2 linked regions of the Arabidopsis thaliana genome follow. The protein of the gene in region 2 purifies or fractionates together with the protein of the main gene of each other region. This does not show direct contact. Each region holds a gene or a part of one and is shown on either strand. Other genes may lie near its edges.

The links. The genes of interacting proteins can lie anywhere in the genome.
Region 1: the proteins of DRM2 (region 2) and AGO4 purify together in Arabidopsis thaliana (affinity purification with western blotting; one study listed by BioGRID). This does not show direct contact.

What each region holds. Positions count from the first base shown.
Region 1 is NC_003071.7:11,536,356-11,544,131, forward strand, and holds AGO4 (Argonaute family protein), read right to left. Parts: upstream 6,037-7,776; 5' UTR 5,872-6,036; exon of another isoform or gene 5,853-5,871; intron 5,152-5,852; 5' UTR 5,149-5,151; coding exon 4,876-5,148; intron 4,717-4,875; coding exon 4,511-4,716; intron 4,433-4,510; coding exon 4,208-4,432; intron 4,132-4,207; coding exon 3,995-4,131; intron 3,899-3,994; coding exon 3,801-3,898; intron 3,702-3,800; coding exon 3,604-3,701; intron 3,483-3,603; coding exon 3,314-3,482; intron 3,218-3,313; coding exon 3,101-3,217; intron 3,020-3,100; coding exon 2,912-3,019; intron 2,823-2,911; coding exon 2,760-2,822; intron 2,692-2,759; coding exon 2,578-2,691; intron 2,481-2,577; coding exon 2,315-2,480; intron 2,225-2,314; coding exon 2,109-2,224; intron 2,032-2,108; coding exon 1,894-2,031; intron 1,800-1,893; coding exon 1,672-1,799; intron 1,578-1,671; coding exon 1,512-1,577; intron 1,428-1,511; coding exon 1,364-1,427; intron 1,283-1,363; coding exon 1,171-1,282; and 10 more. UniProt on the Arabidopsis thaliana protein: Together with RDM3, required for transcriptional gene silencing (TGS) by DNA methylation and repressive histone modifications (H3K9me2) of several chromatin loci.
Region 2 is NC_003076.8:4,714,594-4,720,682, forward strand, and holds DRM2 (domains rearranged methyltransferase 2), read right to left. Parts: upstream 4,112-6,089; 5' UTR 3,986-4,111; coding exon 3,863-3,985; intron 3,785-3,862; coding exon 3,652-3,784; intron 3,577-3,651; coding exon 3,527-3,576; intron 3,430-3,526; coding exon 3,330-3,429; intron 3,252-3,329; coding exon 3,205-3,251; intron 3,130-3,204; coding exon 3,025-3,129; intron 2,898-3,024; coding exon 2,801-2,897; intron 2,266-2,800; coding exon 2,168-2,265; intron 2,082-2,167; coding exon 1,386-2,081; intron 1,268-1,385; coding exon 836-1,267; 3' UTR 512-835; downstream 1-511. Other genes in the region: AT5G14610 (DEAD box RNA helicase family protein), read left to right, coding at 1-120; SK13 (shaggy-like kinase 13), read right to left, coding at 4,757-4,839, 4,929-5,031, 5,113-5,196, 5,280-5,375, 5,518-5,568, 5,682-5,822, 5,941-5,997, 6,079-6,089. UniProt on the Arabidopsis thaliana protein: Involved in de novo DNA methylation. Controls asymmetric and CpNpG methylation. Required for FWA gene silencing but not for the maintenance of SUP gene silencing. Functionally redundant to CMT3 to maintain non-CpG methylation.

The sequences.
Region 1 (7,776 bases), on a different chromosome or scaffold from region 2:
GTTTGTTGTTTTGGAACTATTGTGACGTCCTAAACTTCAGAAATATCCACTACAACAAGTCGTGAACTCTTAACTTTGACTAGGTTCTGTCATTTGTTTTGGTTTCAGTTTTTAATCATGAGCACTACACAAAAGGCTTTGCTTTGTCTAGGTTATGTATGTAGTCTGTTTCCAATGCAAGAACGATTTAGACAAAAGGGTAACTTCCTGAACTTAGATATTCACTACAATAAGTCTTTAATTAAACAACCGAATTGTTAAGGGGGACAAAAGCATATTCAAACCCCAACAGGCAAACAAGGCTGGCGATAATAGTCACAAAAAACATTCCAAGCCTTAGTGTCGATGCCTGGCTTCAAGGCCGAGAGAGATCCTAAGCTGAAAGTCAGATAGCCTATTGAACTACTACTTACTTACTGAGCCAAGTAGGGCTGCTCATTTAACAGAAGAACATGGAGTTGGCGACGTTGTCTTTGAGTCTTGGGAGCTGTGCAACAGAGATTGGTCCTGGAGCTGTGATACCACCATGGCTTGATGATGTCTCAGACTGATCTTCAAACTTCATGAACGTCCCAAGCTGAGCAGCTGCCAAGTGAGCATAGCAGATCGGCGCAACTGCACAAAAAATTAAAATGTCAGTTATTAAGAGAACAAATGAAGACGACTTTAAATCGATGGAGTAGAGAAAACAGTTATGGTAATTACCAACAGAAATGGCACTGGTGCTTCTTTGGTACCTGGAATTTTGCCAAAGAAAGAAATCAGATAATTTCTGTTATCATCACAATCGAAGTTGTCACAAAAAATGTAATGAAGGTTGAATAAGAGACTACATACACATAGGAGAGCGAGTGGACAAGTTCCTGAAGTTCGTCAGCTGAAAAACCAATCTCATCATACAGGACGTGGTAGTGAGTTGGGCGGGTAGTTCCCTAATTCAGAACATAAAGAGTATTAAAACGATTCAGAGGAGCAAACATTAACAAATAAAGTTTTGAGTTGATAGATGAAACTTACAATCATTCCAGCGTGAGCACAGAGGTAGAAATCATTGTTCTTTGGGTGACATATTTTGTTGTCAATGATTGTCCCTGCAAAATAACCAAAACCCCCATGAGATAGAGATCAGCTATGTGTCAAAAAAGGTTATAATATAGATTTGTCAATCACCTGGAGGAACATTTTCAGGAGACGTTGGCTGGAAGAACTTGGTATGATGATTCTTTTGAGCCACCAACAAAAGGAACTTTGGGTTCCAATTTGCGTCTAAGAGCTTGCAAGCCTGAGGAAAGAGAAATGCAATTAAGTACTAACAGAAGAAGAAAATTACACTGAGAAACTTTTATTTTGAAGTTTCAACTACCTCGATGATCTGATCAAGTTCAATATTCAGAACCTGATTGAATTGAGATTCACTCACACCATCCCTAGAAGCATTAAACATCGAAACAACCAATATGAGAAAATAAAGATGGGAAAAATGAAGAGACAAAAGCTCTGATGTAACATACCTGAAAATTATGATATGCTCTGGTTTTCTCTTATTCGAGCTGGTGTAGAAATCTACCAGCAACTCCCTGCAATCAACAAATAAAGTTACATAGATACTTAAACCAGACTTCATGCAAAGATTAAACAAAAGCCACATCAAGAGTTAGTGTAAGTGCACACTTGATAATGCCATCGTCTTCAGTTCCATTTTTCTTGACAAGGGACTCAATCATCTCAGCCTTAGAAGGCTGTGTCCGAACAGATGCTCTATATTTGGATATCAGTGGCCACTCCCTAGAACTCACCACCTAAGTTAATCATAACAAAAGAGACAACTAAATATCAGTCTTGAAGAACTAGCCAAACTAAAAAGCAAACAACAGCAGTGAGTAAACATTTTACAGCAGCGATGGACGGGACATCAGACTGTCCAGGAGATCCATGTGAAACATCCATCCCAAGGATAATGGTTGGAACCTTAGAAATCACAGTGAACGCAGGTGTACGCTCTACACTTAACATTGAGTTCAGGCCTCCAAGCTGTAGTTATATGTTATCAGAGATTGCACACAAGAAGCAAAAACCATTTCCAAAAGAGAAAAAAGGAGAGAGATCACCTTTGCATTAATCTTCAGAAGTAAGTTAGTAAGATACTGATCATTAGGTTGCCGCGTTGGAGCCATGCATTGAGTAACAATGCCAAATTCAGTTAAGTTTTTTTTCTTCCATGGACCTGATGAAGGATTCAAAGTATTTATCCAAGGAAACTTCTATTATATAAAACAAAAAGATGATTGAAGACTGGATTTAAGAGATATCTAACCATAGAGATCACTGTTCTTTTTGTCAGGGAGCACACATAGTATGAATTGTGGGACACCAGGGAGTTTCGATTGGATGTCCTTAAACATGTTCTCAACACGAATCATAGGAGGAGCACGGCGGAATTGATTACCCTCCTCAAACACTTGAAAGGGAGAAGCAATTTCCTGGGACAGAATACAGAAAGAAGCAGTATCTAAATTGTTGATAATCACAAACAAGTTTTCAAGAATACTAAAAACAAAAGAAGAGAATCCTGCTTACAATTCCTTTTGATCCTCCAATTTTTATCAGATCATCAACAACTTGACGTACATTACAGCGAGCAGAGAAATTGACAACAACCCATCGTTGAATTTTGGTGGGCTCAACAAATTCCTGTACAACAAAGGGAATCAGACTCTCTGAACAGGTAAAATACAAAGAAAGGCAGAGAGAAACAGCACCTTGTTGTTGAAGTTCCAGCGACCATTTCTGGGAAAGGTTTCAGATCCACATCCCATTTTCAGCTGTCAGTCAAAGAAAACAAGAGAATATTACATGTATGCAAAAGCTAAAAACAATTCATCATGTCAAAAAGTAAGCGATCGCACCATACCTTGGGAGCTGGTAGAACACGACCCTCCACCTGAGTAAAGTTGGAGCTGATCGAAATGCCACAGGATCGCAGGAGTGGTTCCGCATCATAGTTGCTAACTTTCAGAGCCTGAAAGCATGAAACCAAAGATATGTAAATTCCAGTTCACTGACAAAACAGAACAGTTATGAAGCGGTCAGGATACTTTACTTTGGACAGAACAGTCATCCTCTCTTGGGGTTTCTGTCTGGATTTCTCAACAAGGGCAGATCTTTGGAACGTGGTAAGTGCTTTTGTGTACCTCTGAAGTGGAACCAACGCGCAGAGCTGCGAAAATTCCACCACATTACATACATTAGCATGATTTTTGAAAACAAATTAATACCATGACTATGAGAACGTTGATGAGTATAAGAGGCAAACCTCGAGAGGAATGTAAGTGGGTCGCTTTGGCTTCCCAACATTGATGCAAGGCAAATCCGCAGAATATTGCAAATCAATATGCCTTGTATCGCGGAAGTAGTCAGCAACTGTAACTTCAGTAGTTTCGAACTCTCCATTTTCATTTGGGTTCCTTTTCTTCAATTCAAACCTAGACAGTGTAAAAAGCAAACTTCAGAGAACCATTTATCTTTGAAAGAGATCACAACGTCAGAAAACTAAAACAGAAACAAATGCATCTCACAACAAAGTCAAATTAGTGAATATCTTACGTTTGTTCCCTGCAAGGCTTGTCACTCAATCCGGTTATCTTGAATTCTTGGCCTGAGGGGCTGACCTTTACCCTTAGGTTCTTAAGGGTTCGTTTAGCCTGTTGAAAACAACATGTTAAAATGTGTCAAGCCAAGCAAAAGAGGTAAGGAACATGTTTAGATTATGAAAAAGCCACATATCATAATAAGTAGTTAACCTTAGACCAGTCAATCGAATAAGGGTCCCTAGCATTTTGGTTAGCAATTAGGAAATCAACCACTGGACCAGGCTTGATGATCATGGTGGTTGTAACATCTAGCATAAGAACAAAACATAAACTATTAGACACTAAATTATTGCTACAACAGACAGAATCAAACACCAACATCAAGTACAAGTGAAATTATGTACCCATATTAAGTGACATGCCACCCTGCGTTGTTCTGAAACTGGAGTGAAATCCCCTACATCCTAAGATGTTACCACCAACTGGTTCACAGTTGGTTGGATCATTGTGGAAAAAAGACTGTCGAACAAGCAAGCAACCTCTGCAATTTGTACCATAGGTATTAGAAAGACAAATATATGAGATTAACAAAATACATATATACACTTGACACTTACTGTCTAGCAGCATGTTGCCTCAATATGATATCAAGAACCCGTATTGCCTCCTGGGAATTCTCTGATTCTTGTCCCCGCATTGCATTAGCAAGAGCTTGAAGAGGAATTTTGGCCGCATAGCTGATCTCCACTCTAAAGTTTTTGGACCGGTTAGGCCTACGCAGTCTTTTCCTATCACCATCACTTGGACTTTCATTCCCATTGGGGCTTCCGTTTCCATTAGCCCTGCTCACAAAATCCTTACTAAGAACAAAAACTAAAGCACACAACCAATGTAATGACTATAGTCAGATGATGTTTTACCTTGTAGCAGATACTTCCTCAAGCACCACAGAAAAATCCATCTTGTTACTAGGCAAAGCTCCATATGTAAACAACGTCTTCTCACCGTCATAAGCAAACTCTTTACCATCCAGATCAGAATGGTAAGTCTGATGCACCTTGTCAAGGATTTTTCTTCCAACACCCTTTTGTTCAACAGGACGACCATCATCATAGAATAGAGCCACCTGTACAAACCCACAAATAATCCCATTAGTTTGACATCATTCAGAACCAAATAACAGAATAAGTCAACATAACAGTAGCAAAAAAACATACACACTGCATCCATTCTAGTGACATCAATCATCCAACAAAAATAACACAAAATAGTTTCAAAAACTTACACTGTAGTGGAAGAAATGACCCTGAAGATTAGCCACATCGACTTTGAAATGATTTGTTAACAAGGGGATCTTTTGGCCCCTTGTTCCAAATCCTTTTCGAGCCATAGGAACTCGAACTGGCCCCTTCTTCTCAGCAAGTTCAGTTTTAACACGAACTGGTTCCACATTTGGAGGTATAACTGGTGGAGGAGGTGGTAATGCCTCAGTAACCCCACTCCCGTTTGCCCCATTTGCTGATTCAAGATCAGCTCCGTTACCATTTGTTGAATCCATCTCCTGCTCAAAGAAACCAAACAAAAAAAAAGTTCAGATTTCAACATTTATAAGCAAAAGACACAATCCTATACAAAACCAAGCAAAAATTTCAACATATATGAGTTTGTTCTGTCGCAATCTAAACAAACATCAAAGCAAAAATGGTAAAATTTGAGAAAGTTTGCAACTTTCCTTCATAAATCCCAAAAGAGAAGTAAAATCTTTGACTAAAACTAAAAAGCCCCAATTTTTTTGACGCATGCAAGTGTAAGCAAACATGTATAACACGGAAAAACGTCAGCTTTCATGACATAGTAACAAAATTGCGTCAGCCATGTGACAGTTCATAGCTTTATTCAAAAGACAAACCCAGAAAGGTGACATCTTTGAAGCAAAAACCTCATCAAAAATCTCACCTTTAAAACAAAAAAACCCACAAAATCAAAGTGAAGAAGCTCTATAAGCAAGAAAAATCCAAACTTTTTAACACATTAACTCTAAAATCTACAAAAGAACACTGCATGTGAAGTATTCAAGCTTGAGAGTAAGAATTTGTAAAAAAAAACTCGGAAAAAATAGGTTTTTGATATGAAAAACACAGAAACCACACAAAAAGTCACAAACCCAGAGATTAAAGAAGCCACATTTCTAAGAAATACACAAAACCTATGAGCTAAAGAACATAAACCCTACAGTAGAATCAAACAAAAAAGCACACTCACAAGACCCTAAAATCATCACCTTTGAGTTTATCGATGAAACAAAAACGAAACCCTAGCCGAAACAAGAGAGGATTATTTTTCTTTCTTTTTTTTTCAATTTCTCTCTTTTGCTTTTTTATTTTACTCTCAAAATTTAGCTCCGACCTGAGAGGAAAATGGTTCAGTGACAGTAGCATAAATCGAGGATTCTTCGCTTTCAGTTATGTTCCTCTACGTCACGGCTCCATCATAGTAGAGCTACTCTTACAATCTTGACCGTTAAAATGGTTGACTTATGTTATTGACTTCGCTTTGTGTCCCGCTAGATTATTTTAAATTTTTTAATTTCAATTGGTAGTGGTGGTAGACAAACCTTCTGTGTTCTAATATTGAATGTGCGCATTAATTGACACGTACATGCTACATAACTATGGATTTAACAACTGTGTTACAATAATTATAAATTATTATTAAGCACAATATAAAATTTAAACAGTTTTATGTCTCCTAAACTATGTAACTTATTGTCAATTAGTTTATGTGCTTCAATGATCTCGTTTATGGTTGATCCTCACTGGAATCCATTTTTGATTATTGACTAAAAAGGTATCTAAGCCGCAATTATAAAAATTATAAATTGGTGAATAGAGATTAGGTGGATTCAATAAAGAAAACTATAATTGGAGATGATTCTTGATCTGTGATTAAGGTTATAAGTGGAGAAAGACAAATAGTCAAGTGTGTGACATTTGGAACTTACATAGCTAGCCAGCTGGAGAATGAGGGTATCTACAAATATTCTCTATAGTTTAGTTATATTACACACATCGGCAAGTTAGCTATATATGGTTAATTACAGATGCAATTGGAACCAAAATTAAAATGATACTCCACTTAGAGAGACATCACATTTTTGAAGTATATAAGATCAGGAGGTGCTTGAATTATGTTATTAATATTATACATTGTGTACACTTGAGATATAGGATATAATAAATTTAGTTAGTTAGTGTTGACATATAGTTTTTAAGTGTTTGACATTTGGAACGTACGTAGTTAGCCAAGCCAGCTGGAGGACAAAAACTAGCTAGTTGGTGAAAATGGATATCTACAATTACCTTCTAGCTAGCTAGGTGGCTAAAGACAGATGCACTCGGAACCAAAACAAACAAGATACCCGACTTGAAGAGACCACATTTTAAAGCATACAAGATCAAGAGAGGTGTTTGAGTTGTGTCTACGTTCAGACCCAAAGAAAATTGAAAGAAAACGATTTCTGGCCTAACCATCTAGCAAGTGATATTTAGGATCGGATGCTTTGTAACTTAAAGGAATTTGTGTGCATTGTTTCTTAACCATTGTGATAGTTTACCAAATTGATTTTGAATTTGGCTAAGTTACGTTAGAGGCTTTTACCACACTAATCATGAATTAGCCTAATTGTTAGAGGTTCATTATCTTGAAAATATGTAGATCGATTGCATGATTTCTAACATCTTGATTGTTCAATTTATCTATCTTGTTTATTTGCTCATTTTAGTTCTTAATTTTGTTAGTTTAGTTTTCAATTATCTACTATATATAGTTTAATTGCTTTCATTTATCCCTTCTTTTATTCTATGCATGTTAGGGTATTAGTGAGACCGTAGATTCTCATACCGTCTTATGGCAAATGATTTCATCATAATTTAATGTGTTATACTGTTATGGCATTTTCCCGTGGATTTGATTCAATCTTTAGTTACTCCAATGACATACCACGCATATGCGTAATGTGTATTTATGGTTAAAATTACATCACATGAGAGTATCGGACAATTTACAAAAATGTATACGAGGTAGTGTATAAGACGGTGTATGGGATAATTCATATGGTTCAGTACAAAATAATATACTAGGCTGTGTGCGTGAAGGGATGTATGAGATGGTATAAACAGAGGTGTAT
Region 2 (6,089 bases):
GGCAGCTCAGGATGGGGAAGAGAGAGAAGCCGTAGTCCTGAGAGATTCAGAGGAGGTCCACCGTCCACTTCATCTCCGCCTCGCAGCTTTCATGAGGCGATGATGATGAAAAATAGATAAGTCATTGGAATCTAAACCAGATTGGGGCAATATACATATAGAAGAGCCTCTTTCTCTTGGGGTAAATTATTCATTTTGTGGTGTGTGGACCGAAGCTGCTAGTACTTTTTAAAATCATACACACCTGAAGGATACTCTAATGTTTTGGTCTACGAGAAACCTTTTTCTGTTTATATTATGGAAAATAAAGACTCGTTTATGGGTTCTTTCTGTGTTGGTGTTTAAGTAGTGGATGTTTCTCAGCTGATAAATGTTTTAGACCTCTAAATAGGAATGACTTTTTGATATTTTGAAGTAAACAAGTTTGTTTCGTTATTAAGAACTGCAATATCAGTATATCAAAAAAAAAGTACTGCAGTTTCAGCTTACAAGTCACTGACTACTCTTAATTGACTCCTTAACCAAAGTGTCTATACAAATACCCCAAACATATTTCTCCATTAACCCTTCGCATGAAGGAAGGATCAAAGATTATATGATGACACATTTGTCTGGTTGAATACATTACTGAACATCAGTGTTAAGGCAGGGAAGAGAAAAGTGCAAATGCAGTTGCAGATATATTGTCGCAAAAAGCAAAAGAGAGTTAGGTTGACTTATATTATTCAAAAATGTACCTTCATGGCCATATTACATAACAGATATAGAAAAATAAAGTTCAACTAGATTTCATGGAGTCATATCTACTTCAATCTACTTCAGGTAATGTGAATGATCAAGATCCTCTCATCCTCGCACGTACCACCTCTAGAATACGGCAATACTCAAAGAACAACGAAGATTGATCACCTTCAAGACCAACTCGGCTTACCCTATTACCGCCTGCCAGATTGTTACAAGGACTTCCTCCAATTACAAGATCAAATCCACCATATTTCTCCATCAACCCTTCGATTGTGTCATTAGTCAAGTGTTGGATGTCTGAAAACTCGATCAATTCTCCAGTCTGGTTAGTTTGCTCCCAAAAGTCCTTCAAAATATTTCTGTTGACTTTTGAAATCTCAACAGACACAACAAGCTTCATTTTGATTTGGAGACGATGAAGTGCCACTTCCCCACCACCAATACCCGTGAAAAGAGAGAGAACATTGATTCCATGTGGGAAAATGGGCTTCAGGACAGACAGATGATACGCCACAGTATCAACCTAAAACAAGTTCAACCAACCATTAAACCAAGGTATTCAAGCCACCCACCAATGAATCAAATACGCAAAAGACTTTAACTACAAAGAGTATTATTACGCATATGATATGTAAAATTACCTGAAACGAATTTCCTAAGGACTTGAAGCGCTCAGTTCTACTCATGCCTCCACCACGAGTATGATTTTTTGGAAATCCCAGAATACTCTCCATCTCATCTGGCTCGAGTGGGGCAGCTTTGTTTTTACCCACCCAAACCAAATTCCATTTTTTGCACTGGTCAATCACATATCTTTGTACATGCTTAGGCGGTTCTGGTTCTTCATTGTAAGGCTCAAGGGCTACACGAATCCTGTTAGTCAACTGAGCACTACCTGTACAAGTCAAAATGCAATTAAGCTTGGTCCTTTTATCCCATTCTGGCCACCATCTCTTACTCAAAGGAAATGCATCATGGATGGTGTATTTTGGTGGAGGCTGAATCTGAAATCTGTTGTTGATGGGGAGATTGTGGATGTAGCCTCTCTTCCTCGCTGCAACACAGAAATATTTTGAGTCCACAAACTCAGGTGGGATCTCGAACAAGTGCCTGGAAATAGTCTCCCAAACGCCTTTAGGTGTGAGGGCGACATTCTCATAGTAGAAAAAAGGTGGCCCTCGGGCTAACTCTGGAAGCGATCTATGTGTAATGAGTCCGGGCTCGTTTGGAACCCCAAATCCTATCATTGGATTTGGTAGACGAATCGGCTCGTCATCAACAGATGATCTTGGCTCTCCTTTTGACTCAAACCGCCTTTTCTTAATATTATGTCTAGGCTGCATACACCAAATTTCCCAAAATAATCAGTTCCCAAAGGAATTAACTTACAAAAGATAGATTATAAAAAAGGTTTTAACAGTACCTTTTGTTCTTCATGTTCAGTGTAAAACTCACTAAATTCCCTAGCCATTTGAGCAGCACAAAGGAAGTCTGTGAGCTCTGCAATATCCACATTTTCTCCTGAAATTACAATCATATGAGTCTGGATAAGGCAGCAACATACTTAGAGTAAGTAAGAGATATATATTAACATCTGACAACTGTATCATTTAGTGAAATACAATCACAATGCTCAGCAAACACATTTCAAGCCTAAATCACAGAACCAGAGGCTAAAGCCACAATTTGACTATCACATTACACTAAAACTAAGCAATTTGGCTTATGCCACTTCCTCTAGAAGAAACCTGAATAAAAAGGAACTAGTGAACATACAATTTTATCAAGTACTGACAACTTTTATCATTTTGTGAAATACGATCACATTCTCTACAAACATATCTAAGGCGTACATCACAGAACCAGAAGCTAAGACAGAACTAATGACAACTTTCGATTAGTGAAATACAATCAAAATGCTCAGCAAACACATCTAAGGCCTACACCACTAAATCAGAGGCTAAACCAAGCAATTTATACGACGTTGTCTAGAAGAAACCTGAACAAAACGGAACTAAAATTTAATGACAATGGCAATCGTTTAAAATAAAGTTACCACATCTCTCGACAGCTAAAGAAGCTTCAAGCTCTGAGAAACCCATCTTCACCAAAGACCGTATTTTGCTGCCATTTTCATTTGAGTTTGGATCTTTCTGTCATGATTTAAAATAGATTAAGAACGCATAAAATTAGATACATATACAAAATAGCAGTGAGATACATTTACAATTCAAACCTGGGATGCTTAAATATGTTATCACCAACATGAAAGAGTTATACCTCATCATCTGAGTTTAACATATCGGTGTAATTGGTATCATCATCACTTGATGACCAGTCAATGCCATCTTCTTCCTCTACTGCTGCTGGCAGTTTCTTAGCCTCCTACAAACCATCAACGAACTTTAAGTACTATTTTTTTAATGTCAAGAGACAGTATATTTTCGTAACATCGCTTACTGGACAAGAGAGCAATGCATTTGCAATTGCTTCCATATTGTCTTCTCCTGCGATTTATAAAGCAAATATCAGCAAAGTGATAAAGTGTTACTTCTTACTTAAGGAGGAGAGAAATCTGTAAGTACCATGTTCTTGAATGGCTTTGACAACTTTTTCTTCATCAAATCCCATAGCAAGGAAATGATCAATAGCCTTGGACTTGGAAGAACCAGCTTCACAGTCGCTCTTCACAAATAAACAAAGGAGAGGATATGAATACTGTGATGACAGAAGCACATGTAAATGACAAGCAACCCAAGAGATCAAAGTATTAGAAACTCACTGAGTATTTGGAGATAGTATCAATTATAACCGAAGTTTCTACATTTGGTCCTGTATAATTATTGGTATCAAGTTACGGATCATATATATCCAGAAAGGAATACAAACAAGAGAAAAAAGCCTCACCAGTTTCCTTGATCGCTCTAGAAATCATCTCAACAGGAAATCCCATGTCAAACAATGTAGCAAAAACCTCGTCTGAGAAGCCCATCTGAACTAAATCAGTTGTCTCAGTAGGAGAGCTCAAAGAACTAGTTGTCTGAAACAAAACAAAAATTCACATAAGCAATGATTCTGCTTAGGCATAAACTTATGACTGTTGGATTGGATCACTTACCACGGCTACACCAGCTAGATTTTCGACCCTACACTGCATTGCATGTATTGGAGATGACCGTGGAGAAGATTGAAAGTTATCAATCTCCAAAAAATCATCATCATCGTTATTCCAAATCACCATGAGTAATACCCAGAGAATTTTTAGTTTGAGCTACAGATTAAGCAGAAGCGCTCCCGCCGCCGGCAAAGATACTGTCGCCGTTGGTGAGAGAGCTTGTATCGTCGTCAGTTTACTGGAGGAGGAAACCGTGAAACAAAAAGTCGGATGATTCTAAAAAAGAAAAAAACAAATTCAGAGTATTGCAATTTAGTCCCTATTCTTTGTACTACTTCAATAATTAAACTACAATGTTTTTAATTAACTAAATCAATAAACATGAATAAATGACACGTTACGTGACACTTGTGGTGCTTAGAGGCAATTTGCGAAACTAATTTTTATAGTCAATGATAATTCATGTTTAGAGGATATTACCAATTACCGTATTTCGTTTGAGGAAGTGAAATTGGTTAAACTTAAACAAGAAACTCTCGTAAATGACACTTTTACACAGAACATAGGCTTTTTTAAAAATAAGTTTGGCTAAGCTTTGAAGCATGAGCTTTGGATGCATGCAATGACACGTGACGAGCGAGAAGTTTATTTTATAATTTAGTATCCAACATAACTGTAGCGACCGGCGAGTCAAAGACCGTCACATACATTACACTAATCATTGTATGTAATAAAGTACAAAGGTTGTGATAAGACAATAAACAACAAAGATACATGAAAGATGAAAGCTAATGATAATCCTGAGAAGCTATCTCCATTACTTAGAAACGATAAGCATATTATATGCATGTGTACATACACACACACACACATATATATAGAGAGAGAGGAAGAGATTTAGAGAGCGAGGAAGGAACATTGTTTTCGGGCGTGGTCAGGTATAAGCTTGGACAACAACTCTAAACTTGCTCCTTTTAGCTCTACATATTTAACAAGAAGCACACACTTTTAGTCTTTGTTAAAACGGAGCATTGGGAAACAAACAAAAGCATATTTGGAGGAGACAGACCTTGAGGTTTAAAGTTGAAGAGAGGAGGCAAGGCACGACCATTAGGAAGACGTGTATTGGGATCACGTAGCTCATCGAAGAACGGGTGAACTATCGCCTCCATCTACAATAACAAGTAAGTTTGAATCAACCAACCAGATATATCAAACATAATGTTATTATGGTAATCACTTCATTGACTTACAGCGGTTGATCTGAGGTTTGGAGAATACTGGAGAAGTCTTGAGACAAGGTCTACAGCTTCTGGAGGTGTACGCTTATGGAATATCTTAAGAACCAACAACAGATTTTTCAATCGTAAGAATATATGGAGATCAATGTTAAGGAAAAACTGATGATGTGTTTGCTTACTTTGTGCCAAGGATGAGCCTTTATTTGCGGGAATTTGAATTCTGTGTAGTTTGGATTCATGCATTTGATTTCCTCCCGTGTTGGTGTTCCAAGAACCTGTAACACACACAGTAAACAAAATGATGGCAATCAATAGCAGGAAATGGAGCCTCTTCATTCCATATAATCAATGATCCACTCTATGTTCAATATAGCAATGGCTAGGATTATGTGTGTTTGTTTAACCAAATTGAAGTACCTTTATTATCTCAACTAGCTGGTCAACTCCACTCTCACCTGGAAATAGAGGCTAACCAAAAGTTGGACAAGCCAAAGATTGGTAATATATAACTTTAGACATCATTCGGTAAATCAAATCATTTGTAAAAGATAAATGGAGGAAAGTTTGGACAGTCATATTACCTGTCCCAGAAGCAATTCAGCAAGAACACAGCCTGCAGACCATATGTCAATTGTTGTTGTATATTCTGTAGCTCCAAATATAAGTTCAGGTGCTCGATAGTAACGGGAGCAGATGTATGAGATGTTTGGCTCGCCTTTAACCTGTTACAGAGGGGCAAAGCTAAAATAGTTAGGACTAGTTAACATTGCATAGCACCATAAAAAGTGCAAACTTTTCAATATGAAAACAAATCAACATGTCTCTTTACAAATGCTATACCAGAACTTTTGCGCTACCAAAATCGCATAGTTTGACCTGATGCGTATGAGGATTAACCTACGAGAAGCACAAGATTGATCAAGCAGAAGCATGTAGACCAATAAAATGTTATGAATAAAATCAACTAAGGATACGAACCAGAAGATTCT